Elephas maximus indicus: one gene and its partners. The protein of the gene in region 1 interacts with the protein of each later gene in a pairwise test. Links are inferred from orthologs where the notes say so. Each region holds a gene or a part of one and is shown in the gene's direction. Other genes may lie near its edges. The genes, in order: CEP76, SALL2, C22H22orf39 and PARD6B.

Region 1 (7,510 bases):
ATTTTGACAGTTGAAATACCTCATTTTAAACAATAAAGTGGATCGAAGTACTTTATCACTACAGTTGACTTGCTGCTAGTCTGTGTCAGAGAAAAGGAAGTGGATCTTTTACTGGAGTGAGCGAGCATGGAGAGGACAGTGTCGTGGTGAAGAGGCAGCTCACAAGGCCCGGCTGCCTTGATTTCAAACTCAGCTACACCAATTATTAATCACGTGACCTTGAACAATTTACTTATCATCTCTCTGCCACCGTCTCCTCATGTATAAAACTACCTCATGGAGTATCTGTGAGGGCTAAATGAATTAATACATGTAAATATACAGTGTTCAGTTCACAGTAAATGCTCAGTAAGAAACAGCTGTTATCATTAGTGGAAATTATATGAATTCTAGTCCTCTCACTAAAATCTTTTATCCTTTAATGCAATAACTGAAATTCATCTCATGTTAATCTTCCCTGCAGGAATTTCAATAATAAAGTTATTTCTCAAAACTGCATTTCCTTATTGCAAAGTTAGAATAATGTCATGGTTAATAAGACTGACAGAAAACAAAATGCTTCTTCATCTGCTCTTTAATCCACTTGGGCCCCTCAGGCTCCTCTACTACCTTTGGCTTTCACCCCAAAATGGTAAGCAGAAGACCGAGAGGCCAATAGAGCAGTTGGCCATCAAACCAAGTAACGGAGTTCCTGTGCTTCACGATCCACAGCTTTCCCTGATTCCCATGGTGCTATCTCACAGAATCGCCCAACAGCATCAGTGCAATGTGAACAGTGTTCCCTATTAACCGTGCTTGACATGTCCAATGAGGAAATCAGGACTTTTGGAAACATATGCTAAAGGAAAAGCCCACCCTTACTAAGTGGCATTTGGCAACTCACTCTCTCTAAGCCTTACTACCTAATCAGCTTATTACGGATTCCATAACAATGCAACAAGACGACTTGGAGGCTTAGATGAGAAGTACATCTTAAACACTAGGACTGAGTCCAGGCGAATTCTCATTGCCACATTTCCCTTGTATGAGTGATAACGATTACACGTGCCAGTAAGAACAGAAAATAAAACTGAGGATGAAGGAGAAAAAAATTCATGTTGGGGGGAAAAAAAGGAAATCTTAAATTCTATCTAAAGACACAAGTACAGTTACACCCCTCATAAATGCTGCCATTTACAAAAAAAGGCTAAGACCTAAAGCCAGAATGTAACAGGGCAATGTGACTGGGTCATAATACTCACTGACAGCACAAAACCAGCACTAAGTAAACATTTGCTTCAAAACAGTATCTGTGAGTCTATTTCTAATTTAAAACAACTCTGTAGTAGAATAAAACATGCTGCAAGTTGTACATACCCTCAGCATTTATACTGAGTTCTGCTGCGTTTTCTTCTGTGGTTGCATATGGATTGTTTCCAACCATGGGCACAAGACAATCGGTATAAAAGTAACCAACCTTAAACATATTCAGCGTGGAAATAATCAGATCTATTGCAAGCTGGCCAACATTTCCAACGGATACTGCTGGCTGAAATCATAAAAGATATATTCGATAAGTCATAAAATGTTAGCAACACTTTTAAAATTTAGACTGAAAATAATAATCATAGTACTAGTACTGAACGCTTATGCTTGGGTATATCACAGCTAAATACTGACTCTTTCATTATCTATAACTGTGATGTCAGCTGAGGCCTCCTCCACCTTTCACACAATTCATTTACCAAATATTTACTGAGCACCTACTATGTGTCAAACGCTGCTCTAGGCATTGGGGATGGAAAAAAAAAAAAATCAGAAAAAAAATTACTGCCCTTGTGGAGCTTCCTTTCTAGTGAGGATGTGGTTTACCCGCAATAAACAAAATAAATAGGTAAAATATATAGTAGTAAGTACTATGGGCAAAAATAAAAGAGAGAAAAGGGATATAACGTGAGTGTATATGTCCCTGTGTGCAGTTGTTTGTAATTTTAAATTGAGTGTCAAAGAAGACTCACTTCAGGTGCAAAGTGACTACTATGGAACTGAAGGAGTAAGGAAGAGAGGCATACAACAACCTGGGAATGAACATCCTAGGAAGTGGGAAAGTTGTGAGGTATGTACAAAAGCAATCTTGGGTCTTCTTGTACCACTTTCTTTGCCCACATCTAAAGGTTAGAGTGACCTTTTCACACTAAACACACACATACTTATCCCCATGACTTCAAACAGCCAACTGAAATCTCTGCCTACAGCTGAGAACACTTACTTGAGCTCTAGCAGCTAATGGATATCTCTACATGGTTATGCCACAGGCACCCCACATTCAACATGTATAAAACTAAACAACTGCCCAAACCTGTCCCCATATTTTGTATTTCAGAAAAGAGCAACACCATTTACCAGATCACCTAAAACAGGAACCTTCTTCCCTTACCAGCTCTATCTAACACATAACTGATTTTCATTGATTCTTTCTCTAAAGTATCTCTTTAATGGAGTTACTTCCAACTATTGCTCTTTACCGGCCTTCATCCTATTTTGCTGGGCCACTCACAGTGGTCTCCCACTGTTCACACCTGTCATCAACCCTGGCAACCTCCAGTAGTTCCGTTTTTCCTCTCCAAGACTTTGTTTCTTTGGTTATACTCTTTCTCCTGTACGTTGAACCTGCCAGCTACCCCGTGGGAGAAAAATGTGGCAGTCTGCTTCCACAAAGACTACAGCCCTGCCTGGTCCTCACATGCCCCTCTATCTCATTTCTGTGTCCCCACAAAGCCAATACCTCTAACCTTTGTCCTCTGAAACATGAGCAGGAATTTTATTGCTGAACGAATACATACAAATCTCCACATCCTCTAACTCATTCCATAAGCTGCAGCATGGGTTTCCTCTCCACTGAGAACTGTTTGCAAAGGTTACCACCCACATCCCACATGTTGCTAAATCCCAAGCGCACACTTCCTCGTCTTACACATTCGCCTACTTGTGACAAACAGGTATTCTCTCCTTCTTTCAACACTCTCCTCTCTGGCTTCATGTGCTTGATATTTAATGAACAAAAGGACGGCTGTTCACTCTTCAGCCATACACCACTTCCAACAGCGCCTTCTGCAAAGGTGTCTCTTGGGCTCACAGGCCTGCAGCCTATTATCTCTCAATGAGTCATTCCCAGTCCAAATCCTCCAGCTCCCCCATGCCGGTGTGTCTCTGGGGTAGACATCCATTTTCCTGAAATGCCCTATTCCTGCCCCCCAGCCCCCAATACCTCACTTTCTGGGCGTTAATTTCTTTAGGAAGCATTTGAAGAAAAAGCCCTGTGCCCACTCCTCCTCCCCACAAGTCTTAGGGCCTGTCAGCAATCTTTTCAAACTTGCACCCCAGCACTCACTGCCCTCGTCCACTGACGCGTTTCCAGGTAGACTACGAACTCCTGTGGACAAGTCTTATCCTAACATTCGTACGTGCCAGAATGTTTACTGAAACACTGCATGAACGTGGCCAACTGCACAAGCGATAAAACCGTGTTAGCTACTGGCAAAAAAGTGACTTTTATTACTACCACTGATTTTAATACTTTTACAGTAAACTCCCATTTGCTTAAATTCAAGCTAGTAAACGACATGGTTTAAGGTTACATTTATGGTTTCTTAACAGAGAGAACCTCTGGAGAACAGCATTACTTTGCTAGCTTAAAACCGACCTAGAAGTAGCTGGGAAGACCTCTGAGGGTACACTTGAGGACGATACCCTGTACAACCCACGCAGCCCAGCAGCTCGTGTCACAGCTAACAGACGGACTACCGACTCGCACAAGCCCACAGGTCCACGAAGGCTCTCGAGAACCGCCGCCTCCCGCGACAGACAGCCTCTGCTGCCCCTTCAGTGAGGGCTGACAACTGCACAGAAACGGCCCCTCTCTCCCCCGACCCTGCGCGGCCCGAGCCCGGGGGATGAAGCCGCCGGCGCCTCCGGAGGCCGTGGCCCTGCGGGGCCGCCGAGAACTCGCCAGAGAACCCACCATCAAGAGGGTGAAGCCCGTGAGCTCGGGCGCCGGGTCCACGCAGGGCACAAACATGGCCGCAACGTGGGGCTGAAGGAAGGGACAGAGCGGGGGCGGCGGCGAAGTCGACCTGCCTGCGGCCCGAGCGGCGGGAACGCGGAGCGGGAACAGCGGGAACGCGCGGAGAAAGGAGCAGACAGGACTCGAACGCGGCCGGGCCGGCGGGGTCCTGCGTCCCCTCGGCGCCAGGTCCTCGGAGGCCTTCCAGTTTAACTGCCTGCGCGGAAGGCGGGAAGAAACTGCGAGGGAACGGGAAACGGAAGGGCAACACGTTCGGAGACCCTGGAAAGGCTCATCGGCTGGTGTGTGGAGGCTGCGGGGGCCCGGGGACACCCGCTCCCGGCCGCTCAGGCGGCGCTGGGGGCACCCCGGGGCTCGCCGCTCCGCTCCCCGGCTCCGCCCCAGACGCCCCGCCCCGCCCCGCCCCGCCCCGCCCCGCCCCGCCCCGCCCCGTCCGGCCTTAGAGCGCGCGCGGGGAGCTGACGCGGTCGTCGTTCGGAGGCGCTGTCGCGGTAGTGGTTCGGCGGAACGCCGGCCGTTGGGACTCCCAGGCCGGGTAGGAGCGGTGGCGAGGCGCGGCCGGCGACATGTCCCTGCCCGCGGAGAAAGCCTCGGAGCTGAAGCAGCTCATCCACCAGCAGCTGAACAAGGTGAGGGCGCGCGGGCTCCTCCGTGCCAGTGTCGGTCCTCGGGGTTCGGGCCGGGCCGTGGGAGCAGAGGTCGGAGCGGCAGAGGTCGGAGCGGGAGAGGTCGGGGGAGCAGAGGTCGGAGCGGCAGAGGTCGGAGGGGCAGAGGTCGGAGCGGCAGAGGTCGGAGGGGCAGAGGTCGGAGGGGCAGAGGTCGGAGGGGCAGAGGTCGGAGGGGCGAGGCTTGGGTTTGCAGCCAGGAGAGCTTTCTGGCCTCGCTGACAGAGACTCGCTGAGGAAGCGGGAGTGCCGGGCTGCGCTGACGGACGGGTCGGGTTCTGGGGGACCGTGGTGAACAGGAAGTGTCCGTCGAGTCGCTGCAGGAAGTCAAACCTGCGCTTGGATCCCGTGTTTATACTCAGACTTGAAAAGTCAGAATCGGTTTAAGGGTGAAACACGAGGGTGCCGTTGAAATTGAGCGGGTAGCTTAAACCAGCAGTTCTCAAAAAGTCATAGAAGAGAAGGCGCTAAAGTCTGTAACAAAAATATTTGTGATGCTTTGGAGCAGGAGAACACGGAATGTTCGGGACACTCAACTGAATGCAATAAGCTGATTTGAAAAAACCGGGCATTTGAAATATTAATAAAAGCTGCCATGTGTTGTGCACTTGTACGCCAGGCTTTGTGCTGGGTGTTGAGCATCTGTCATCGAATCCTGACCACCAACCTGTGAGAGGGCAATACTTTCCTCATGTTATAGACGAGGAAGCAGGTTCAGGAAGGGTAAATAAGTTGGCACGAGGTTACACCTCTAATAAGTTGAAAATAAATTCAAACGTTGATTTATCTACTCCAGGTTCTTTTGATGTTACTGTATTTCTTTTTAAAAGATACATATTTTACTTGAGTCTTGTTTGTGCGGAAAAAGTAACAGATGACCAGTAGAGACTCTAAAAAATTTGTACTGAAAATTTCATCTTTTTTTTTTTTTCTTAAAAACAACGAAACCACTTGCCCTTGTTTTCACTGAATTGTGGTAACAAGTTTACAATTAACTGGAGAAGCCTGAAACCCAAATTTCCTAAGTTTAGTCTCTAACATCCCTGTTATTTTTTTTTTTAATAACATTTTATTGTGTTTTTGGTGAAAGTTTACACAGCAAGTTAGGTTCCCGTTTGACAATTTCCACACAGATTGATCAGTGACGTTAGTTACGGTTTTGAAGTTGTGTCAAGATTCTCCTTAATTTTGTTCTGATTGTTCCCCGTTTTTTTCTTTATTACTTTGATTTAGTATTTTAGAAAGAAACTGGTTAATTGGTAATATTTGGCTGCTTTGATACATGTGCTCTTCAGGAGAAAAAAAATTGTAACGTGAGTTTTCTACGTAGATGGATGTCCACGGCAGAATACGAGAAATCCTTGCTGAGACTATACGTGAAGAACTGGCACCTGATCAACAACAGTTATCAACAGAAGATTTGATCAAAGCCCTTAGACGTAGAGGAATCATTGATGATGTGATGAAGGAACTGAATTTTGTTACTGTGAGTAATGATTTAGGGAAAAAAAGTTGACAGTGTAAGTCTGTTCTCATGCTTGACAATGTTTATAGGGTGCATATTTGGGGCCTCCTTTTAATAAAACCGCTTTAAACCTTTTTGTCTAGTAATACCCTAGTTTCAAGTATTTTTTTTTTTCAAGTATAAGGTAGCTCTACGAATATAGCAAATAGTATTATTTGCTATAATATCAGTGAAATTGGAGGGGATTCCACATTCCTGTCTGTATATTGACAGAATTTTCTCGTTATCCTCCAGGTCTACAATTTTAAATGCACATATTTTAGTCACATTACTTCATCATGTTATTAGGTGCCATCCAGTTGGTTCAGACTCATAACGACCTTATGTATAACAGAATGAAATGCTGGTCCTGTGCCATCCTTATAATCTTTGATATGTTTGAGCCCATTGTTGCAGCCACTGTGTCAGTCCATCTCACTGAAGGTCTTCCTCTTTTTGGCTGACCTTCTGGTCTGCCAAGCATGATGTCCTTCTGCAGGGACTGGTCCCTTCTGATAACATGTCCTAAGCACAGGAGATGAAGTCTTGCCTCCTGGCTTCCAGGGAGCACTCTGGCTGTATTTCTTCCAAGACAGACTTGTTCATTCTTCTGGGAGTCCATGGTATATTTAGTATTCTTTGCCATAACTCAAAGGCATCAGTTCTTCAGTCTTCGGTATTCATTGTCCAGCTTTCACATGCATATGAGCCTGTTGAAAATATCATGGCTTAGGTCAGGTGCATCTTAGTCACCATAGCAGAGTTCTTTTTCATTAAGATTATAGTGTAATTTTTTTTAGATTGACGAGCTTATTTTTAAAATAAATGCATTTTTTGGGGAGTGAATTTTCTATGACTAACAAATTATAAATTTCTTTAAGAAAATAGTGTGACTGCTTAAGAGCCCTCAAATCTTTTCCTACAAATAGGTCAGTAGCAGAGTGATAGCCTCTCAGTACATAATTAGTAAGTAGGCCTTTTGAAAATGAGGCAATAATGAGAAGCTGTGACCTCAATACCTGGATAACCTGATGTAAAAATTGGAATGGATTTTATAATACACGAAGGAATAAAGTGTTTAATACAGCATCCTTTTTTAGTTTTTGAGGTTTAGAAACCTATTTATTATTAAAAAATGACCTAGTAACAGCTTCTGCTGTGTGAATTACACTTCCTTGTAAAAACCTGCTCATGACCATTCATAAACCAAATGTTGTATGAGGTTTAGAAAAAGTTTAGCTTTCTTTAAGTATTAAGGGTTTGTATTTAACACTTCTG
Region 2 (7,229 bases), on another chromosome or scaffold:
ATGTTCCAGGTCTGCAGCCACAAAGGGAAGCCCATAACAGAGGCAGACATTAACAGGATGGCAACCAAGTGTCACATGGTGGTAAAAAATAAATGCAGGCTGTCCAACTGGGCATTGCTGGGGTAAATTTCAACCCTGCATTTTAGCTATGAGACCCTAAGCAAGAAAGCTACTTTGCCTCTCTGCTCTATGGTTTCCTCATTCGTAAATTTGGGTGTTCTACATGTGTAGGTTCGGAATGAGTTAGAATCGGCTCAACGGCACACAACAACGTGTATAAGATAGGGGTTATAAAAAGCTTCCTTTGCAAAGTTGTTTTAGGATTAAATGAGATTATGTATTCAAAGGGCCTGGCACACAGAACGTGCTGCAGCTGTGATTATTGTCTTCAATGAAAACATTACATGCGTTTCTAGATTCCTGGTTCAGTTCTCTTGCCATTAAACCAAATTCCTTATATGATTCTAACTCATCAGAGGGTAGAGGAAATGCCTCCACAAGGTTTGCTCTTCTACATACAAACTAGAAAGACAGGAAGGCTAAGAGCAGAGTATTGTCATGAGAGAAAAGGTGTTGAATGAAATGCCAAAAAGTTTCCTGGACCCCCACATGACTATAATTGTATTTTAGGGCAAAAAACCACTATGCGTATAGAAGTACTTTTAAGTAGTTTTTTGAGATTAATACGTAAAAGTGTATTAATCTCAACAACATCAACAGACATTTAGCAAATAGTACATACATTTAAGAGACATGTTGTTTATTTGATCAACAGACAGGGCTTGGTTCATGGATACATGGATTCCCTTGCAACAACAAGGCAGTCTCCTAGGAATCTAGAGCCCATGGTTTAGAAACCACCAGTCAAGTGCAATTGTCTCAAATTGACTCTTCCGAGGAATCATTTTAAAAAATTTTTTTTAAATCTTAAATCCCAGCTCCATACCCACCCCCCACCCCCCACTCTCTGAGATTCAGATCCGGGGTGGAGCCCAGGAATGTGAATCGGTGGGTCTGGGAATTCAGATATAGAGGAGAATTCAGGGTTCTGAGAATTAGCATTCCTGACTGGATCTTTATCCTTTGTCTTGCAGGCATCTCATTCTAGTCACCTTCTCTTTGTTCCTCACAGTCCGGGGCTTCTTTAACAGTGGTGTTGTGCTAACATCACAAAACAATTTGTACTAAACTCTCTGAGATTCAAACATTATATCCAGTTTTTGTTAAAAAGCAACAACATAAAATTAAGCACTTAATTTTGTCACTGATGTACTTTAACATCCATTTTAACTAACTCAGAGACAACCTTTGCACACAAATGAAGGATACAGATACTGTGCTCAAGTGGTCTGGCTTAAAAATTGACTCCATGATGAAACACCTCAACAATACTTTAAGCTATATTGGGTCAATGGCCAATGGGGAAGCTGAAATAGAAAATGTTGGTAAAATTAAAAAATGTCATAAGAAGAAACCAGAAAAAAAGCCAGAAGGAAAAACCTATCTTCAACACCTGCTTTCCTCATCCAGAATATTCCCCCTGAAGCCACTCAGGCTCCCACATTTGAGAAGGAACTGGGGGTGGGGTGCCAGGATAAGTCCCTTTTTCCTATTCCTTTATTATCTCCAATGCCCTTGAGTGCCTCTTCAGCTTCCTGGGAATGTAAGCACTTAGTCTGCAAGGTCAAAAGACCACAGAACATTTTCCAAAAGATTAGATCACCAATTGAAGAAAGAAAAGTGTTATTTTAATATTCTCTTCTAGTATTAAGTTTAAGTCTGTCTCTCCCTCTCTCTTTCATTTCTCTCTCTTTCTTTCATTCTCTCTCTGATTTTCTCTCTCTCCCTTCTTTTCTCCTTTCCCTCCCTCTCTCTCCTTCCCCTCCCCTCTCCACTTCACCACACACAGAAACCCCTTTTCAAAGGGGCTTTTTTCCAACTCAGTGAAGTAAAGTCTTTGCCCCTTTGTGGGGAAGGCTCATTAACATTCTCACAGCAGCATCTCTTCAAGGATTTTACTTTTGTAACTCTGTGGTGAGGTCAAGAGGCCACAGTGGAGAGGTAAAAGGAAAAAAATGGTAAGCGGGAGAGGGCGGAAGAAAGGCGAGGAGGGGAAAGAGCCCTTCCTTTCACAATAAGCGCAGCAAGAAGGGAGAAAAAGTGGAAAAAGATGAAGACAACCAAGACCCAAGAAAGGGACAAATGCAGACCCCTAAATTTGCCCATGGAGATTTCATAGACTCCTGAGAAAAGGAGAAAGCTGTGCTCCTTCCTCCTTTCTGTTCCTCAAAAATGCAGGTAAATGACAGGACACAAGCTATTCCAGTGAGGAATTATAAGCTTTCCTGGCCTCAATGTCCCCAATTCTCCTACAATCCCCTAGTTCTAACCACATCTGTCTACCACAGAGTACTTACCAAGATGAATGAAACAATGTCAGCAACAAGAATTCCAAGAGTGGAATGAGAGGGAGCCACCCAGGGTCCTGACCCCAAAACACCGGGAAAATAATGAAGATTCAGGGAACTCCAAAGTGAAGATCAGAGAGCTTCCCAAAACTCTTCAGATGTGGGTACCTGCCTCATCTATCACCAGCAACCCAACTACCGTCGGTTGTCTTCCTCTCCTTTCTTAGTATTGCTAAATTAGCCAGGGTCTTTTTTTTTTTTTTTTTTTTTTATGTAAAGGAAAAAAAAAAAACAAAAAAAGAAATGAAGAAAACTATGAGTGAGTTTTGCTTTGCTTTTTTCTGAAGACAGTCAGCCACCAAATAAATTTATATCACTAAACTCCAAAAGAGAAAATAATTTCCCCTTTCCCAACTATAGGTATTTCATATGGTCTGTCATCTCAGAAGAGTAAAAGGTAAATAGGGCTAGTAGAAGGGAACCTAGGCATTATAGCTACAGGGTAGGGCACATCTGGAATATTCTATGCCCCATATCACAGAATTGCTCAAAGTCAGGTATGAACAGCACTTAAGTTAAAGAATAATAAATTAATTACCCTCAAGTGTCTAAGCAGGAAAGACCTAGTTGGTCGACAAATGGTACATTTTAGAGATGGAAGAATTTTTAAAGGTCTGGTTTCTTATCCACAAGGAAATCCTTTCCACAGCCTCCATGTGAACATATTACAGAGGGCTCACAAATTCACTAGAAAGTCCATCACACTATTAGAAAGTTCCTTTATGTAGAACAGAAAACATCTTCTTGTGGCTTGCATTCTGGAGTACGATGAAACTCATCTAGTTCATCTTCTCAGAGGCATTCCTTCAACCGTGGGAGCTGGATAGGGGAGTGAGAGAGATAGAAAATCCACTGATTCAATTCCTATTTTAAATAAGATTCCTTAAGATGAATCACCTTCCCCCCGCCCCACCCCACGCTACCAGTCTGATGGCATATTGTGTCTTCAGCAATATAGAGAAAAGAATGCTAGACTATCAGCTGCACCTGGGTTCCGGGACTGTCTCTGTTACTGCGTAGCTGTGCAACCTTGAATGGGTTACCTAACCCCACTGAGCCTTTGGTTCTTCTACAAATGGGATCATCTATAAATGGGAACAGTAAAAAAATCTGACGTACTAAACTCAGACTTGTAATATTCAAAATATGTCATGTGCATGAAAACATTCTGTAAATTATAAAGAGCTATGCATATATTGGTTATACATATATTATTATAATGACAGTCCATCCTCACTGAATCTTTTTGCCAACTTTTCATATTCCCGTTTTCAACTAGAAATAGTTGACTTCTTGGCCTCGTGATTAGGATATACCAAAAAGTTCTTATTTCAGCTTGTACCCCAGAAGCAGGCACATCATCAAACATGGGTCGGGGAGGTGGTGTGGAATTATGAAAAAACCAAAAAGCACTGTAAAGATCTTGGAAGAAGAGTTAGACAAGAGAGCAAAGGAAGGTCTCTGAGCAGACAGCACAGGGAGAGACCAGAGCCATCGCAGGGAGGAGAGGGTTAAATCCTTTCGTCTGCAGTACAAAAGAAAAGAGTGTGCGGAAAGATTAGGATTTTTGCTTTTACAATGGGAGCTGCAGAAGCGTAGGGAAGAAGCTGAAGAAAAAAAAGGGGGCGTCTCCCCTTTAAAGACTTGGAGAGATTGAGAGAGAAAGAGAGAGAGAGAGGGACAGGGAGTCAGAGAGTCTGTCTCTGGGAAGGGAGACCATCTCTGCTTCACAGTGATTGCACTGGAGGGGGGGAAGCATCAGTTGGCTTCAGACCCAAGGGGGAGAACGGGGCAGGTCACCCCGGTTGAGACTAAGTGAGCGTTGCCCCTCCCTCTCCCACCTCTCTCTGCCCGGGAATGTCTCGGCGAAAGCAGCGGAAACCCCAACAGTTAATCTCGGACTGCGAAGGTCCCAGCGCGTCTGAGAACGGTGGGTGCCTGGGGAGGGCTGGGGGAGCCTGAGTCCAAGGCTGTGTGGGTCAGGCCAGGGCAAGGGGAGGGCACCCGGGCCATGGGCGAAACCAGGAAGCGGGGGGCTTGGTCACTGGAGGCTTGAAGGAGTTGTTATGTGAGGGGTAAGGAGGTGACCTGTGCTGGGGAGAAGCCCTGATCAGCTTTTCTCGGGATTGATTCTGTTTGTGTTTTCCTTGTTGTTTTTCTCTGGATGAAATGGAGTTTTCGAACTGGCTCTATCTCCCCACCCCAGAGTTTTCTCCCCAGGTCCCCCTTTGCTCACTGGTCTTTGTGCCGTTGCTAAGTAACGTCCTCAGACCTGAAGACCTTCTCTTAGGGGTGGGATTTTCCCCCCTTTTCTTTCTGGAGAGTTGGGTTGCAAGAGAATGAATTGGATAAACGTGAAGTTTCCCCTGAGGGAGAAGAGAAAAAAGTTTCTCATTGTTGAGCTGAGCTGAGAGCGAATCAGAGCTCCCAGAGGGAGACAGCTCTTGTCGGTCGGAAGGTAGCCTGGTTTGGGGTGTGTATCCCAGTCACCTGGTGTAGATGCTGGAGGATGTGATGAAGATCTGGTTGAGGGGCTTGGGTTTGTGCTTCAAGGGAGGCCAGTTTAAAAAAAAAAGTATGTTAGTTAACATACTCTAACACACCCGTAAATACATGTGTATCATTTTATGAGGATATTAAAATCTGTTATTTAAGCAGATTTCCTTTATGGGGTACAGTTTTTTCGTGTATTCTTAAAAACTCCAATCTGAGAGGGGCAGACAATAGAGTAACTGCTGTACTAAGAAATGACATTGACCAATGTCTCAGAGGCAGGGCCTTGTCAGGACAAAAATCAAAGTTTCCTGATGCACAGGGGTATCAGGAGGGTGGTTTTCGCTATGTGTTTGGATTCCTCAAACTTGCTTGATTGTGAGTAGATTGTGGATAGAGTCTGGAAATCTATATCTTTTGCAAGAGTCCTGGTAATTCTTAGGCTCAAGCAAGTTTTGGGCACACTGGTCAACGGTGTGGCTACATATGCAGGCACCTGTGAAAGTCTGGAAGTCCTGGCTCAGGGATCAACGGTCTATTTAGCAAACAGTTGGTTTACCCAACAATGTTGTGTAGGGTTAAGCTGCAAGGGTTCTGAAGCCAAACTTAGGGTTCAAATTCTGGCACCACTGCTTAACTGTGCCAAATTGAAATGAGTAAAACACTTAGAAAAGTACCTAGCCTAAGTAAGTAGTTAATGTGTGGGTACTGTTATTATCATGCTACTGTGAGTGCAGTGGCTCCTCCTACAAGTTCGGAAATATGACCAAAGTTCAGGAACACTGGGTGAACGCCAGCTCAGCATTTCTTTATGAGATGTGTGCCATGAAAGAGCTCCAGGATAACGTATCTTTAGTAACTGAAACTTGTTGGAAAAAAAAAAAGAAAGACTTGAGGTCAAATCAGCGCTCCATGGATTATGAAACAACCTTAACAGATTGTGTTTTGGGTAGAACACGTCCTCCCCAAGTTACTGCTCTGCTGGGATCCCACTGTGCCCATATTCAGAGGTTCTATTGGTGGCATCCTTCCCTCCAGGGACACATTAGCCCTCCTTGATGCTGCTACAGGCCGGATGTTTCCTCCTTGTGCTCTACAGGAGACTTCCCCCAGAGCCTCAGAGTCGCCTCACAATCCTGCTCCCCTGCTGGCTCACTGTGGAACAATGCTGAACCCTCTGAGGAATCCTCTCCTCTCCTTCTCACTTCTCCCAAGTCTGTTCACCCATTCCCCATACCACAGCTGAGGAAAAATCTGTGAGAGAAAGGGTCAACAGAAGTCTTTAGCGATTACCCTGAATGAGTTCTCAAATCCATTGAGCTATATCTCCCACTTGGAGCTATAAATACTTAGGTGCATGGCGATGCTGTGGCAAAACCATCCCCATCGAAAGAGTACAGGCTTGAACCCAATGGCAGTAACAAATTTCAGTAGAAGCTTTGCCTTTGAGCCATAAAAGGCAGAAACATGAATGTAAGGAGCTAGAAAGCTATAGTAACTTCTCTTAAGATCTGTCTTAACAAAGCCTGTTTCCTCATCAGAATTTCCCTGAGAGGGAATGATCCTGGGCTACTTGCATGGCCTCGAGTGTCATTGGCTGTCATCTGTAAGAAGAGTTTGTTATATTTGATCATATCTAAAATTCCTTCCTGCTTTTATAAGTTTAACATTTGCACAGACAAGGTCTCAATTTGCTTTTGTGATCTTCAGTCTCCTGACTTTTCATTCTACCCCAGAGATGTGTTTGCTTGTTCTGCATGCCCTTAAATTAGGTATGCAGGACTCTTCTTTGGAGGAACACTGCATCCTTTGGTATATCTGTGAAATTATGACCCTCAGCACACATTATTTAGTAGGCTAGGGTGCCACTAGTATTTCCAAGAGTGTTTTGCCTTTTTTTTTTTTTTTTTTCAATTTTTATTGTGCTTTAAGTGAAAGTTTACAAATCAAGTCAGCCTCTCTTACAAAAATTTATATACACCTTGCTATATACTCCTAGTTGCTCCCCCCTTAATAAGACAGCACAATGCTTCTCTCCACTCCCTATTTTTGTGTCCATTCAGCCAGCTTCTGCCCCCCGCCCCCGCCCTCTCATCTCCCCTCCAGACAGGAGCTGCCCACATAGTCTCATGTGTCTTCTTGATCCAAGAAGCTCACTCCTCACCAGTATCATTTTCTACCCCATAGTGAGCCTTTTGCCTTCTTTCAAGCAATGTTTACTATACATGGGTAGGTTTCTGGGAAGCACAAGTGGGCTTACACTTGGCT
Region 3 (7,983 bases), on another chromosome or scaffold:
ACTGACTTAATAGACCATGGAAAGCTGAATCGCAAAAAGGCTGTGGGGAAAGAAGTAAAGCAATTTGGTTTAGATTATAGCGTCCTCCAAAGGCACCTCTAGAAATGGGATCTAAAAACAAGGTGTCTGTTAAATAGTTAGAACCACAACATTCTTCCCCAACCTTGCTGTGCAGGAGAAAGCTGGAGGAAAAGGTATAATGGGAGATCTCCAGATTTGGGTAATCAGGCACAGTGGTTAGCAGAACTGAACTAGAAGAATGAATAAGTGACAGCCTGCATGCTGAGTGTTGATGCCCTTCGCGCTCTTCCCCTCTTAGCTCCTGGACACTGCAGCCAGGTGCACTTATGGATTTGGGAGGCTGGAGGAGCTTTCTGGGGCCAGTCTGATGCGCCCAGGAAAAGGACCTCAAGATAGTGATAAAGTAGGGTTCCTTTTGGAACTGTCCCAGCCAGCTCACCCCAGTGAAGACCAGTAAAAAAATTTCCACTGCCAACATCCAAATAGAGTTCTAGAAAGGGAAAACAGAGAAATCATCAGGGAAGCAATTTCCCTGAACCAGAGGGCAGGCTTTTGCTGCTCGGAAGGGTCCCTGAGTGCTCAGCATGGGTGAAAATGGCCCTATTGGGGCAGGGGAGCCACTCCTGAAGAGGTTTCACGCAGATTGAGAATGGCATCTGCCTCTTAGTAGGACACAGAAATCTAGAAGATTCTGAGGGGAAATTTTTCCAACCTAACATTCTGTACCCACCAACCCATCAGTGAAGTGTGAGAGTATAAAAAAGATATTTTAAGACACCTTAAGATCTCATAAAAAGATACTCCTTGTGCTGCCTTTCTCAGTAGGGTGCTGGAGGATGTACCCCATTAAGATAAAGAAATAAGAAAGGCACAGAATCCAGAAAACAGGGAGTCCCCACTGCCATGTGCAGTGCTAGAGAATGGCCAGTGCAGGTTAGGCTGGCCAAAGGCCTCAGGATCCTGCTGGAATACTGCTGTGATTGAACAGATGGAGTAGAGAGAAGCCAAACACCATTGTTGACACCAGGAAAACTGGAAGGTTGTGCAGGAAAGGAAGACTAAACAACTGGGCTATGGCTCACATTTACAGAATTAGAACAAGCGAAGTGCTGTATTTGGATGGGGAGGGGACAGAATGAGTGTTGGGGTGCAGGTAGTCAGGGTATGCATTGGAGAGAGCAGAACCCTCTTCTTCCGGAGAGAAAAGTCAATAGGTAATGTGTAAGACTAGCAATAAAAGCATGTGAAAATGGGTCATTGTGCCAAGATACCTGCTGTTTTCAAAGGATCAGAATAATAAGTCCCCTCTGCTGGTAGGAGAATAGCTTAGTAGAATGTTTTTGAGTGCTGATTAGTCAGTATATATTAAAATCCTTGAAAATATGTATACCCGTTTACCCAAGAATTCCATCTAGGAATCCACCCCACTTCTAGGAAGAGCCAGGTCTGTGTACAGACCCATGAGGCTGCTCACCACAGCGATTTAAAATACAGAAAGCCTGGGCATGAGGGGGCCACGCAGTGATATAAGACTGGTTCACACGTGATGGGAGTCTGTGTAGACTTTAGAAGGTATTAGATAAGAAACTACAGTTTATATAGTCATAGACCGAAAAGTGACTGGAAAGCCTTTTTTAGGGTAGTGGCCTAGTGGTTAAGAGCTTGGCTGCTAACCAAAAGGTTGGCAGTTCGATTCCACCGGGCACTCCTTGGAAACCCTATGGGGCAGTTCTACTCTGTCCTACGTGGTTGCTGTGAGTCAGAATCAACTTAATGGCAACAGGGTTTAGAGTGATTTTTATTTTCTTGGTGTATCCTATGTTTTCTTTACATTGGAAATGTAGTGCTTTTGTAAAACGATACACTTTTAACCTGAGAATAAAGGCTGTGGCAGACTCATAGTGATTCTTTGGTGTTCTCAATGTAGTGAACTATGACTTGTATTTATATTTAAAATATTTTTCATTATGAGTAACGGGAAAGAAAAATGACTGGATGGTACAGGAGTCAACAGAATAGAACATTATTATAAATTTCCAAGGACTTTCTGAAAACGGTATTTTCTTTGCACACCTAGGATGAAGCTGGAGGCAGATTCGTTGCATTTTCTGGAGAAGGACAGTCATTGCGTAAAAAGGGAAGAAAGCCATAAGTCGGGGCTGTTGCCTGATTGGAAAATAAAATAATTGATTGCAACGTATTGGCTTTTAGTTACTGGCTCTGACAAGGATGAGACTATTGCCAGAAAACGCTCTGTTACTTAAGGTTTGTTTAGAGTTACCTAGAATTATCAAGTTGGAGCTGGAAGAGCAACAGCAGGACTTCATAGTTGTGTGCTTAATATTGGGAAAGAGAAAGCTGCCTCTGAGGTCCAGTAGTCGGTCACCTCCTTGCCAGTCTATGCTCAGCCCTCGGGGCTGCCACTGGCTCAGTGGGACCAGCGTTCCCTCATTCCTGATAAAGCCAGTGGAGGGATTGCCTTGCTCTAACTTGAGATGTTCTTTTTTTTTTTCTATGTAGCCTTTCTTTTTTGTTCCAGGTCCATTGCTTAAGATATTGCTTTTGGCCTAGAATATCTGCTACCCTGGCTGCAATTTATATATTTGAGAAAGGCTGTTTCTATTTTTATTTTACATATTGATTTTTTTTTTTTTTTTTTTTAAGTACCATTCCTCAGAAGGAAAACCTGATTTGAACAAAGTACCCACTTTTATTTTGGTTTCATGTGGAAGTAACTTTGGCTCCTGAATGAACCTGTTCTATAGAAAAATAACTTCATGTTGAAGCACAAATGTGAATATTATTATAAACAATAAAGGTATGCTCTTTTCCCTTCTCCCCCATCCTCACTCCCAATTTTACTGTATTAAATTATCCACAGCTCTGCTGGTCTGTCTTTATTTTTTATTAGTATTAATTTGGTCTGAGATCTTCACCTTCTATAATGTGAGATCTTTTGACATGCTAATCTAACTATTTTAATCTATTCCTTGAAAATAATTCTAAATGAAGAATTTAAAATAAAAACAGGCAATGATTAAAACCTGGACTGTCTCTAATGTAAATGTTTATAACAACGTGATTGGTGGCTGGGTCACTGACTAGGAAGGGGAGGAAGGCCTGCCGACGAGTGCCCCACTTTCCATCCTGCCTTTAGAAAAGTGCCCCTCTGGGGTTTCTTCTGGATAATGGAGAGAGAGAGGAGGCTCTGTGACCCTGGGGGTAGGGATGGTGAGGCCCAGCAGGGTCCCTTCTGTGTGCCAGGGCTTATCATGCTTATAGGCTGAAGCCTGACTTTGACAGGGCTTCTCCAACACTCAGAAGAGAAAAAGATGACCCCTCCAGGGTGGTAGCCTCAGGATCTATCCAGGTATCCTCAGAGAGAACTTGCATCAACAAATGTCAGTGACCAGGGCTTGGACCCATGGCCCAAATGGTCACCACAGAGGTCAGGACCAGTGGTGATGGATGTGGTTTTGGAAGACATGAATTATTGCGGTGACCTACCTGAAGAAAAAGAAAAAAAGAATTTTTTTTTTTTTTTCTGACCTACCTGACCCTCCATTAAAAGAGCCTCCGTTTCCCTAGCAGACATGGGCGCCTTCTTTGGTGGATTGGCAGCCACCATCTGCAGGATTAGATTGGCTAACAAATTGTAATTATATGCATAATGAAGAATGTTAACAGTAAGCCATAGGCCTTGGCTTTTGTCATCTATAAGTAACACCTATTGTGTATGCAGTGAAACTCCATCTGGCTCTTGGCTGGTAGTGTGGAGAACACTGCCCTTCCTGGGCCAGGGGGTAGACCCAGTTGTTGGGCCTTCTGATGGAAGCATTAAGGATATACACAGTGGGGTCATCTGGATTAGAAGTCAAGGTCATTTACTGCACCCTGGCCTATTTTTTTTTTTTTTTTTTTGGCCTATAGTCTTCCTAGACAGTGTTCCTCCAAGCTTGGGCCATGGGTCAGCCACCTCAGTGGTGGGCCCATTGGTAAAACTGGTGGCTTTCTGGGCCCCTCCTCCAGTGAGTCTGACCTACTCTTACTCCTGGGGTGGCTCCAGCAACCTAGCTCTAAGGGACTCCCCAGCAAATGATTCTATCAGCAGAAGCTGGAGAACCACCACATCCAGATACGAGGTATTGCAGAGAGTTGGTGGAGGCCCACTGGCTTCTTTATTGCCTCTTTGCACCTCCCCTGTTTGTAAACGTTGTCTCTGCGTGGCTTCAAAACAGCCTACAATCTTATCAGACATAAAAGCTCCTCCAGGTTTGTACGGCTCTGCTTCTCACTCCGTGCTAGACACAGACTCCCTGAGTTTGATTAGGCTGTTGCTATGCTCAGAGCGCTCAGCCCCGGTTCCCTCCACGAAGTTACTCTGTGCCCTAAGCCCCCTTCACCTCCTCCCCCATACTATGCTGAGCTAACCCAGGTTATTTTGTGACTTCACCTCAGTCCTCTTGACTGGATGCGAAGGGTGAGACCACTGCTGTCCCAGAACCTGGTGGTTCCTGACACGGGGTTGATGTTCACTATTTGCTTAGGAAAATTAACCGGGCATTTGAGATTCCTGAAAATATTGAAGCTGTTGAAACTAACCGGCCTGAATCGTGCGGCTTCATAAACAGTCAACTTAACGTGGTTGGCTGCAGCCTGGGACACCCACCGACACCAGGCGGGCAGCTGCAGTCATCACTCCCGCCCACCTCCAGCCGCTGCGGTAACACTAGGTCCGGGGCCAGACTTCCTGCCCCTGTAGAGGATACCTGACCGCCTCTCCCCGGCCCCGCCCGCGCGCACCACAGCCCCAGGCTTTTATTGGCTGCCCAATGCGGACCTCCTGTTTATTGGCCCCTCTTTAGGAGGTTAGAACCCGCCATATCTAGGAATTCATTGGTTCTTTTATTTGCCAATCGTGTGGCTGCCGACTTTATTCAGTTTTCATTGGTTGACGGGTTAAGAAGGCGGGGTTTGGTGGTTTTGCTTAGACATGGCCGACGGCGGCGGGAACTGGCGGGTAAGCGTGGTCTGTGACCCGAATCCGTAGCGGCCTCGTCGGACCAGGCGACCATATTAACCGAACCCTCACTGGGCTGGGTGGGACGGGGTCGGGGGATGGGCAGCACAGCGGCCTCTGGGGTGGGGCGTGCCTCCGGCAGCTCTCAGGCGTCGCCTCTCGCCGCAGCCGCCCCGACCCTGCGAAGCCTACCGCGCCGAGTGGAAACTCTGCCGCAGCGCAAGGCACCTTCTGCATCACTATTACGTCCACGGCGAGCGGCCGGCCTGCGACCAGTGGCTCCGCGACCTGGCCAGCTGCCACGAGTGGGAGAAACGCCGCAGCGCCGAGGCCCAGGTACCCTGGGGAGGCCAGCGGGGACACGTTGCCAGGATGTCGGGGTAGAGAGCAAGCATGCGGGCAGGCGCGCGTCCTGCGGATATGTGTAGAGCCCCCTGCATGTGCCAAGCCCTCCCCTCGACCCAGGCTCCGGTGACCCTGTGGAGAGGAGGCCTACTGGGCCCTTCCCCTCCTTAAGCTTCCCTTCTTTTGAGAAATGCCAAAAACAGGTATATCAACTGGACTTTCAGACGGTGTTAAGGACAATGAAGGAGACAAGTTAGGAGGAGTTGTAGAGTGACTTGGAGAGGGAGGAGGGGCCACCTGCAAGTGTTGGGGCCATCAGCAGGCCTTCAGAGGAGGCCATATTGCTGAATCCTGAATGACCTGGAGCTAGCGTTCACCCAGCCCTAGGTGACAAGACTGAGGAACAGAAAGAAGGCCATGGTGCTTGGAGCGGAGGGAGGGAGGGCTGTGGAGGGTAGAGGATGAGGGTGGAGAGCTACCAGGGACCTGATGTGTCTTGATAAAGAATTTAGATTCTGTTCTGGAGGTTGTTCTAGTTGTGCATTCATTCAGCAGATATTTATCACTGGCTTACTTCATGGCAGGTGTTCTTGGGGTTAGCGGAGTGAAGAGAACAGCCACTGCCCCCCTGGCACCCACACTCTAGTGGTGCCTCAGGCCAGTGGTGGGAGTGTGGATGGAGAGAAGGGGTGAGGGTGCAGTGCTTATGGGGAGTGCCTAGGGGAAGGGGAGCCAGCAGGACTGGGGACAGCTTCAACTTTGTTAAGTGTACGTGATTATTTTGGAACAGACAAGCTGATGTGGAAACCAAGGTGCTATTTAACAGGAAGCGATGACAAATCCATAATAAGTGAAAGAAAACTGGGAAAGATAGTTTGCAGTCTATATGGCAAGAGATTGACAACTTAATAGGTATAAAAAAGGAGCTGTTATATATCGAAAGGAAAAGTGGGGATGATTTCAGTATAGAAAAGTGGACAAAGGGCATGAAGAAGCAGTTCATGAAAAAAGAAAGCCAAATGGCCAGACACACAAGTTAAAAGGACAGTAGCAGTGTTTTTTGCCCAGTGGAATGTAGAAGTGTTGGTAGCGGTTTGGAGAGTCAGGAGTACTTGCGCATTGTTCCTGGGCGTCTCAACTGGAACACCCTCTCTGGAGGACAGTTAATCTGACTAAATAGGTTAAAAGCATAACTTTTGGCTCCAGTTTTACTTCTGGAAGTCTGTTCTAGGGAAAGAGTTGGACAACAGTGCACAGTTAAAAGCTTAAAGTGCTCACTGTGCCATTGTTTGTGATTGTGCAAAAACTGAAACCAACCTAATTCCACTAGTAGACATTTGACTACATAAGTACTCCTACATGGCGGAGTGCCATGTAGCCTTTAAACACAGGATAGTAATATACTGTGGTGTGGAAAATTACCTACAGTGTATCATTTAGTGAAAAAAAAGCAGGAAATACAGCAACCAACAGAGTATTATTCCACCCTTAGAGAAACACAGGATTACTCTAAAATTTGGGCATAGAAAGGTGTAGGGAAGCTGTTAACTGTCACCTGAGATGGAGGCCTGGGAGCCTTTCACACCCTACTTTGTGCTTCTGTTTTCTAAACAAGAACAAAAGCATTCTATCTGAGACAATAGGGCTTGAGGGGAGAGACAAGTAGGCAGGTGGAGAAGATGAACTTCTATGTGTAAAGAGCGTAGTGCCTGGCACATGCCAGGGGCCCACTTTGTGTGACAGCACTGCCCTTGTGCTTGTTTTTGAGAGAGAGTGGATGAAGAGAAGCTCCCACGTGTGGAGTGGGACCTGTTGTGCGCATCTGTGCCCAGTGACCTGTTGCCTGATTCCTTCCCTAACCTTCCAAGGAGTTCTGGGGATGTCTCTTATCTCATCTTTCTTTGTTCAGCCAATTGCTCCTCTCGGCAGGTTCCCACAGCCACTCTTTCAGACTTTTTTATCTTCTCACAGTTCAACGTCTCCAGTTTCTGTCTTTGCAGGTGAACCTGCCCCACGTTCACTAGGTGAACCGAAGCCAGGGAGCCTTGAGGCCCAGGAGATGTTTTAAATTTTATTCAAATGATGGTGATTTACACAGTAGTTTTTACAGTGGCTTGTGAAAAAGAATGATCTAGATGTATGTGTGCTAATATGGAACAATTGCGAAGACATGTTAGGTGGAAGCAACCATACTGCAGAACAGTATGCATGCTACACTCTTGTTTCTCTATCTGTGTTTGGAAGGGTGCTGAGGAGCAGGGAAATACAGGGGCCACGTGAGGGCACTCAGGCCCACTGAGGCCCAGCCATGAGGCAGAAGTGACTGGGGTCTCATTTACACAGCAATCCCTCTGTGAGAGCGAGCGGGCCCGAGTCCAGGCTGCACGGAAGCACGCCCTGGTGTGGTCCCTGAGGCGGAGCCCCCCTGCAGACTGGCACCTCCCTCTGCCCCAGGATGAGAAAGACGAGTGAGGAGTGGTCCTGCTCGCCACCTCTCCAGCTGCCTCCGCCTGTCTAAAATGGACCTGTCTTGCGACCTAAGGACTATGACTGGCCCGTCATAGTGGGTCCCTGCGAGCTCCACCTGGCCTAGAACA
Region 4 (7,223 bases), on another chromosome or scaffold:
AAGACCTCAAGTTAACATTTATCAGCTTAAAAAAAAAAAATTAATCTGCCTGCCTCCAAATATAAACAACCTTCATACTACTGAAAATTAAATGAGATAATCCATGGAAAAGTACTTAGCCCAGTTCCTGGCACTTGGTGAGTCCCTCATAAATGTTAGCTATCATCATCTTTATCAATACCTTGTAGGAACTGGGATATTTTGGTTGAATACTGCAGCCTGCATGTTGACCTTGACAGAAAGATTACTCTTTTCATTTCAGTTCATCCCTGGTAATGTTGAAATAACGATCAATCTCCATTATCCCTGGGGTACCATAGAATGTTAAGAGCTGGAAGGGTTTATGGAGATGATCTCATCCAGTGCCTGTACTTTACAGACAGAGAAATTGAGTCTCAGGGAGGGAAAAGGTCAGAAAGCAAACCTGTGGCTGAACCAAGTCAAGGGTAAGACACACGCACAGAGCCCGGCACCTACTGCCTCTCATAAAGATAGGGTTTACCCGAAAGTGCATTTAGCTTCTTCAATCAGGAGATAATTCATTAGTTTCCGTGGCTGTGAGCACCACCAGCCAGGCCCCACACACAAAGCAGTAAAGTATTATGAGGTATTGACGAGAAAACAGATCATGTGATTTAATTCCACCTCTGCTAAAGGGCTTAAAATGCTTTGGTGAGTAGTATGAGATTCTAAGTATACACTTCAACTCTTTCTCAAAGAATTATTAACTAGCTCCATCAAAATGAGCTTGAGCAATCAAGGAGAAAAAGAGCTGGCAAGAGGAATTCCTTGAAAAAAATTTCACCAACAGGATATATGACTTTTCGCCATCTCTCTCTCTCTCTCTCCTTAATTCTAAGCGTTGGAAGAGGAAGGAATGAAAAAGGTATTATGTAAGATGTGAATTACTAAAACTAATCGTGGAAAATTACAACTCTTGAGACTTCACAGTGTAGGTTTCAAATGAACACAACAGGATATTTGTAGAACTTAAAGACAGAAAGCATTTAAAGGGAAGATAAAGCAGAGGGGTAAAAACGCTCTAACTTCATTCAGAGGGTGGAGATGGGCCAGGGAAGCCTCACGGTATGTGGGTGAGGTGATTTCTGATAGCCCACTCCCAGCTAACTACTTTGTGAACCTATAATTTACAGTCCATAACATCACACACTCACCTTACTTATCTCCCTAACCCACTGAGTATTAATCTCCCAGGCATGGGACTAGCTTTTCATTCCACACACAGGTCTTGATCAGCTTTAGCTTGAGGATTTGGGGGTGGGGAGGGATGATGGAGAGAAATAAGATTAGGGTCAGTCTCAAACCATAGTAAACAGGAATATAAACCCTTCTCTATGCTGTTTCTCTGGGTTTCCCAAGAAAGGCTGGAATTCAGGCCCTGTGAATGAACTTGTGGACATACCAGCTCTAGGAATGAACGGGCTCCCCTCCTTCACAGCACCTTTATCAAATTCAAACTATTTTCCACATTCCTCCTTTACACAACCCAAGCGCACTTGTGACGCAGACCTCAGAGCAAACTCTGGCCTGGCCCTTCCTTCTAGAAAGGAAAGTCCAAGTAAGGAGGGATACCACACCCGGGGGAGGGGAGAGAGGCATGACGACACCTCCAAGAATGCAGAGCCCACGCAGGTGCGTTGGCATCTACTGACTTCCTTTTTAAACGGCCTGATAAATCAGTACTGATAACAGTAATAAAACTCAACCACCCAACAATCGCCCACACAGAGCTAGGGCCCCCCGCTCTTAGGGCGAGGCCCTGCCAAATAGAGAGAGAAGGGTGAATGCTGTGAATGAAGAGCCCTCAAGGTGGTGACGTAGCTTCTAGTCCGTGGTTCTCAAAGTGTGGTCTAGGGACCCTTGGAAGTCCCTGAGATCTCTCTGGGGATTCACAAGGTCAAAATTATTTCCATAATTGTAAGATGTCATTTGCCCTTCTCGTCATCCCCCATTGACTCACAAGCACACAATGGAGCTTTCCAGAAGGGACAAGACATGTGCATCAACACTCTGATGACTACAGGACTGTGTGCTTCTGTATTCCTGTGTTTTAAATACTTGTTTTAATCCTAATAAAACAAATATTGATAGACGTAACACACACAAAATATTTTGGGGTCCTCCATAATTTTTAAGTGTATAAAGGGTCTTGAGATCAAAAAGTTTGACAACTGCTGTACTAGTCCAGTTAAGAGAGTTACAGTTTAGGCCCTGAGGCTTCCCCATGGTGACATCACATCTTTATTTCCAGCTCAGCTTGAATCACATGAAAAAACCCACTGCCATCCGATTCCGACTCATAGCGACCCTATAGGACAGATATGAGTAACATAGTAGGTACTTTTGAACAAGGGGGTGAAAAGGCTGCCTTATTATTATTCAGCTTGGGATGGTATCCTTTCCATCTGTACCTCCACCCAGAAATGCCCATGAAAACGTTAAGTTCTGTACAAACTTTGCGCAACTGGAACCTCCACCCTCCCATGAAGAAAGACGGGCTTCTTTCTCACCCTGTAAACCAAGGTGGGGCAGTTAGCATACAGAAACCACACTTCTTCAGCCCCAGCACCCAGCAGAGATGTATCTGAGTACCTGCTAGAGTCAGGCATTGTGCTATACCCTCAACAGTGAGAAAAGCAGATGTGGTTCCTGCCTTTAGGGAGCTTTCATTTTAGGGTGGAGAAGATTACTCATTAAAAAACTCAAAGGCATCTAAAAAAAAAAAAAAGGCAAGCTGAAACTGTCACAAACTCTGGGAAGAAGAGGTATAGGGCGGTAGGAGCAGATGTGTTAGGCCCCCAGGACTCAGCTGGAATGAAGCATGCTAACCAGGCCAGCTCCCCAAGACCCTCTTCTTGACCTCAGGTTAGAAATCCCTGTTCCAGAAGGACTGAATTGTGAGTTCCTGCCTGATCTTTCTTCCTGGCCTTCCATGGTTAACATTTGTCAGTCTCAGGAACACACACCACACATTGTGTCTGTCACCAGATTGGGCTGTGACTACAAGTCGCGGCATGGCTGTTCCCTACTCTAGCTCACAAGAAGTTCAACAGCCCTTCGAGAAGCAGCAATCCTACGGCGGGCCTTGGTAGCCCTTGCGTAGGGGGAAAACTTCGTGAGGGGGAGACTTGGGGAGGGGGTCTTCTCCAGCCATAATTTTCAGAGGGTCCCACCTTCCCGGCCTGGCTAATGCTAAACAGGGTCTGCCTGGGAAAATCCCAGCTCTGGTGCATTTAGAGAAAAGGATACGGCCTTTCGTTACTCAGGGACACAGCTCCGTTGCTCGGGAAACACACACAAGCCAGACGCTGTCATTTGGGGAAACAGCAAAATGGCCAAGAAATGGCTTGAGGTGGGAAAAGGGAGCCTTCAGAGGTTAAAAAGAGAAACAAACCGAAAAAAAGCGCAGAAGGGTCGGCCTAGGAAAAGCCCTCGGAGGCTGGGCCCGAAGAGAGCACCTAGGACTTGAGCCCACCTTCCTTCCCTTCCCGGCGCCAATTCAGTGCTGGGACCTGACGCACTTAAAATGGTGCAGGGCACAGAAACTCTGTTCGACAAGACCCAGCCCCGAGGGCCCTGAGGTTCACCACCAGTCTCTCCTGCAGAGGCGGGAAAACTTGGCTTTTGCAACCAAGAGTTGCATCTGGACGCCTAAAAGACGCAAACAGGAGGCCGAGCGTCGATTTGAAGCTGCGACAACCCAAACTGGCGGCGGGGCAGGCCCGGCGGGAAGCTAGCGGCCCCGCGGAGCCTCAGCGTGGTCGACCACCCGAGTCGGGGGAGTCGGCGCGCGTCCCGCGGCGCGAGCTCCCAGCGGGCCCTCAGTAACCAGGCGCGCTCCGGCGCACCCGCGCGTGCGCAGGAGGCCCCCCACCGTCGCCCTTCTCCAGGTGCGCTCGCGCTTCCGGCCGGCCTTCTCGCACCCTCCCTGCCCTGGGCGGAAACTCCGTGGCCTGCGCATGCGCCCCCCGGCTCTCCTGCTGAGTCCAGAGGGGAGGCCCCCGGCTCCAGGTGATCCCGCCCCTCCTTCGCAGCGCTGGACCAATTACGCCTCGGTGGGCGGAATTTTCGAGTAGGCGGCCCGCCCACGAGCTGAGCGAGGCGTGTATCGATTGGTTGGCGCCGCGGGCGCAGGTGCGCGCTTCCCATTGGGTGTGGGCGGAGCGCGGTCTGCAGAGCCTTTCGGAGGCTGCAGGTGAGCGCGCGCACTGGGCTCGGGGACGCGCCCGCGGGCTCGCGGCGGAGGCTGCCGGGAGCGAGGCTGCGGCGCTCGTCGCCTCTGCTCCGCCCCCTCCTCCTCCTCCTGCATCGTCGCGGCCGCCGCCGAGGCCCGAGGGAGGGAGCCGCGTCCCCGCCCTCCGCGCCGCCAGTCCGACCCTCGATCCCGCCGCGTGAGGAGCCAGCAGAGCGGGGCTCAGGGCGAAGACGGGAGCCGCCGCCGCCCCCTGTGCAGGTGCCAGTGAGGAGGCTCCGGGCCACAGCCGCCCCCCCAGCCCGCCCGCCGCGCACTCGCTCCCCGCTCTCCTGTGCGGTGGCCCGGCCGGAGGAGGCCGCCGCGGGCTCGGCGCTCAGCATGAACCGCAGCCACCGGCACGGGGCGGGCAGCGGCTACCTGGGCACCATGGAGGTGAAGAGCAAGGTGCGCGGGGCCCGGCAGGGTGAAGCGGCGGGGCCGGGGCCGGGACACGGGGAGGCCAGAGCCGGGGGCGGAGGGCGGCGAACGCGGCTCGGGGGAGGCGAGGGGCCCGGCAGGGACCGCCTGGGGAGCTGCCCGGTGCCTGGGACGGCGGGGTGCGGGGTAGTGGGACTTGGAGACAGGCGGTGGCGGATAATAAACTCGCTGAGAAGGGGACGGGCGAGGGCTTGTATCTGCTCCTGGCCCTGATAGGACGACCCAGTGGAGCACTTAGTCTCAGTCCTGTTCCAGAATGAGAGTGAGGCCCAATCTGTACCCGAGGATGCGGAGGCATTTGAGTACAGTGTGGGAGGAAAGGTTTGGGGGAAATTCTGCGTACTGGGTTGACGAGTAGAAGCTATTTGGAATATCCCATGGTCATATAAAGTTACCCCTTCGTGGCTCAGGGGATCATCCGGTGGCAAAGGAAAGAGCCCAGTGTACTAAAGAGCCCTTTTCAAGTGAGCTATGTTTCCTGCAAGGAATTTTTCTAGCACTAACTTTGGTATGCATTTAATCTGTAAAATTTGCACTATCACCTTACGTTTGAGTGGTACTTTACAGTTTGAGTCTGGATGCTCTTTTCATTCCGTCGTTCTACCTTTTCACATCAAGTGCTTTCACCCTTGACCTACGAACGGTATGCCAATCTGGGGATAATTACCTCCGTATCAACTGAATTCCTAAATTGCAAGGCCGGGCGAGCAGGACAGTCTGTAGGGATTAGTTAAGGAATGCTTTCCAAAGGGGGTTTTGAACTGGAATTTGAAGGTGATCGGCAGCTGCGGGAACATTTTCAGCAAGCATTCCATGAATTGAAGAGCCGAAAGGAGTTTAGATCATCTAGCCCCATTCTCGTTTTACAGATGAGAAGACTGAGGCTCAGAAGGGTTATGACTTTCCCAAGCTCTGGTTTTGTGATAAAACCGTAAAGCCTTGATTAAAGCTGTTTCAGAGAATCACTTTCAGGCACTGCAGAATACAAAAAGTTCACTCGCTAGGCCCTGAGCACATTTAGAATACAGTTGGGAAGAGCAGAACACAGAATAGAAAAATAAAAGCATATCACCTTCAAAAATAACGAAGCACGTTGAATGTAAAACTAGTTAGAATGCACAATCAAGAAGCCATTTGAGCGAAGTGCAGTGGAATTAAGGAAAGTTTCCAGGAGCCTGTGGGTAGAATAGTTTTTATTGTCTAGGGCTGATAAACACAGTTCTGTAAGTTGCTGTAACTGAGAACCACATCAAGAATATGTAAATGTGTTCATTTTTAAACTTTATTTGCGACTTTAAGAACTCACCTATCAGGATAGGCACTAGTTTAAGGAACCGTTCTGTAATTATAAGCAATTTAAGAAATAGGTTCTTCCTTGTGTCCTCCTTGGAACCGTTGTAGCACATTGAAGTGGCTTGCTTGAACTAAAGGGTTAAGATGACTCAAAATCTGCAGAGCTTTTCCTCTAGCAGTCTGGTGGTGGTAGTGTCCCTGCCCATTGGTTGGGCTTTCTCGTCCCAGATTTGTTATAAATGTAGTTTGGGTTTGTGGGAGTTGAGGTTAAGAAAAGAAAAGCACTTGTGATACTGCCTAATCTTAAAATTCAATTTGTGGTCTTAATCTTGGTGGTGAGTCTTTAGTTTTTTATCTTAGGAAAAAATGAGTAGGGATTTGATAGTAGGGCTCAGTCGAGGTGCACTGATAATTACAATGAAAGTTATTTCTGGTACTGGGAAACTTTGAACACTTGGGAACTGGAACTTCAGGCTTTTTGCTCTTCATTTGTGAATCTTTCATATACTGTGGCCAAACTATATGTTGTGTGTCGGACCTGCCATAGTACACGTCTTTAGTGAGCCGGATCTCTTTAACAGAATCAAGGCATCCTGAGAGCCGGCACTGAATGAAGTGGTCCCACTGTTATTCTGGCTGCTGGTAACTCGGCATGGCACACAGGGACATGTAGTATGTCTCTGACACCTTATGTTTTAAATATGTGTTAAATGAAGCAGTTGTCATCTTAGTCATCAGAGATTTAGTCATCTGGACATATTTTCGAAACAGTATTTCCTTTTACACTGCTTTAGTGCTATCTCAGCTTTTTACAAACTGATCACTAAGCTGGTAAACAAAACTTGGTAGTGTGCAGACCCACGCTTTAGGATTTTTTTCTTCAGCATTGAAAACAGTAGCTTCAACTTTATTATCTTCGCTCATGGAGAGAGAAAATGGTGCAGATAAGAAAATAACGGACGGCGCAGAATCACTAGGGTGAGATTGGTGATAGTGCTGCCATGTGATTTTTTTCCTTTGGTAACTGATTTATCTTCCTAATTGCTTCTCCAGAGTTAGGAAAGTTTTTAACAAACACAATGATGTCCTTCAACCTTGGAACAGTGTTTGAACCATAAAACTTCCTAACTGTTAATTATGTTGTTGTTAGGTGCCATCAAGTCAGCAACCTTGTGTACGACAGAACTAAAGAAACACTGCCCAGTCCTGCACGATCCTTGCAATTGTTGCAGCCACT

The links.
Region 2: the proteins of CEP76 (region 1) and SALL2 interact in binary tests that used the Homo sapiens proteins (3 or more experiments, as listed by UniProt). The two-hybrid records come from large-scale screens. The link is inferred for Elephas maximus indicus from reciprocal best matches to the Homo sapiens genes CEP76 and SALL2.
Region 3: the proteins of CEP76 (region 1) and C22H22orf39 interact in binary tests that used the Homo sapiens proteins (3 or more experiments, as listed by UniProt). The two-hybrid records come from large-scale screens. The link is inferred for Elephas maximus indicus from reciprocal best matches to the Homo sapiens genes CEP76 and C22orf39.
Region 4: the proteins of CEP76 (region 1) and PARD6B interact in binary tests that used the Homo sapiens proteins (3 or more experiments, as listed by UniProt). The two-hybrid records come from large-scale screens. The link is inferred for Elephas maximus indicus from reciprocal best matches to the Homo sapiens genes CEP76 and PARD6B.

What each region holds. Positions count from the first base shown.
Region 1 is NC_064829.1:9,168,961-9,176,470, forward strand, and holds the start of CEP76 (centrosomal protein of 76 kDa), read left to right. Parts: upstream 1-4,499; 5' UTR 4,500-4,629; coding exon 4,630-4,692; intron 4,693-6,058; coding exon 6,059-6,214; intron 6,215-7,510. Other genes in the region: PSMG2 (proteasome assembly chaperone 2), read right to left, coding at 1,357-1,528, 4,001-4,057. UniProt on the Homo sapiens protein: Centrosomal protein involved in regulation of centriole duplication. Required to limit centriole duplication to once per cell cycle by preventing centriole reduplication.
Region 2 is NC_064828.1:31,885,475-31,892,703, reverse strand, and holds the start of SALL2 (sal-like protein 2), read left to right. Parts: upstream 1-4,220; 5' UTR 4,221-4,325; coding exon 4,326-4,398; intron 4,399-7,229. UniProt on the Homo sapiens protein: Probable transcription factor that plays a role in eye development before, during, and after optic fissure closure.
Region 3 is NC_064840.1:32,679,420-32,687,402, reverse strand, and holds the start of C22H22orf39 (UPF0545 protein C22orf39 homolog), read left to right. Parts: upstream 1-4,973; 5' UTR 4,974-5,014; coding exon 5,015-5,041; intron 5,042-5,209; coding exon 5,210-5,377; intron 5,378-7,729; coding exon 7,730-7,858; 3' UTR 7,859-7,983. Other genes in the region: UFD1 (ubiquitin recognition factor in ER-associated degradation protein 1), read left to right, coding at 2,099-2,173. UniProt on the Homo sapiens protein: Negatively regulates long-term potentiation and modulates adult synaptic plasticity. Stabilizes the interaction of RTN4 isoform A/Nogo-A with its receptors, inhibiting clustering of postsynaptic AMPA receptors at synaptic sites.
Region 4 is NC_064843.1:18,919,207-18,926,429, reverse strand, and holds the start of PARD6B (partitioning defective 6 homolog beta), read left to right. Parts: upstream 1-4,220; 5' UTR 4,221-4,594; coding exon 4,595-4,660; intron 4,661-7,223. UniProt on the Homo sapiens protein: Adapter protein involved in asymmetrical cell division and cell polarization processes. Probably involved in formation of epithelial tight junctions.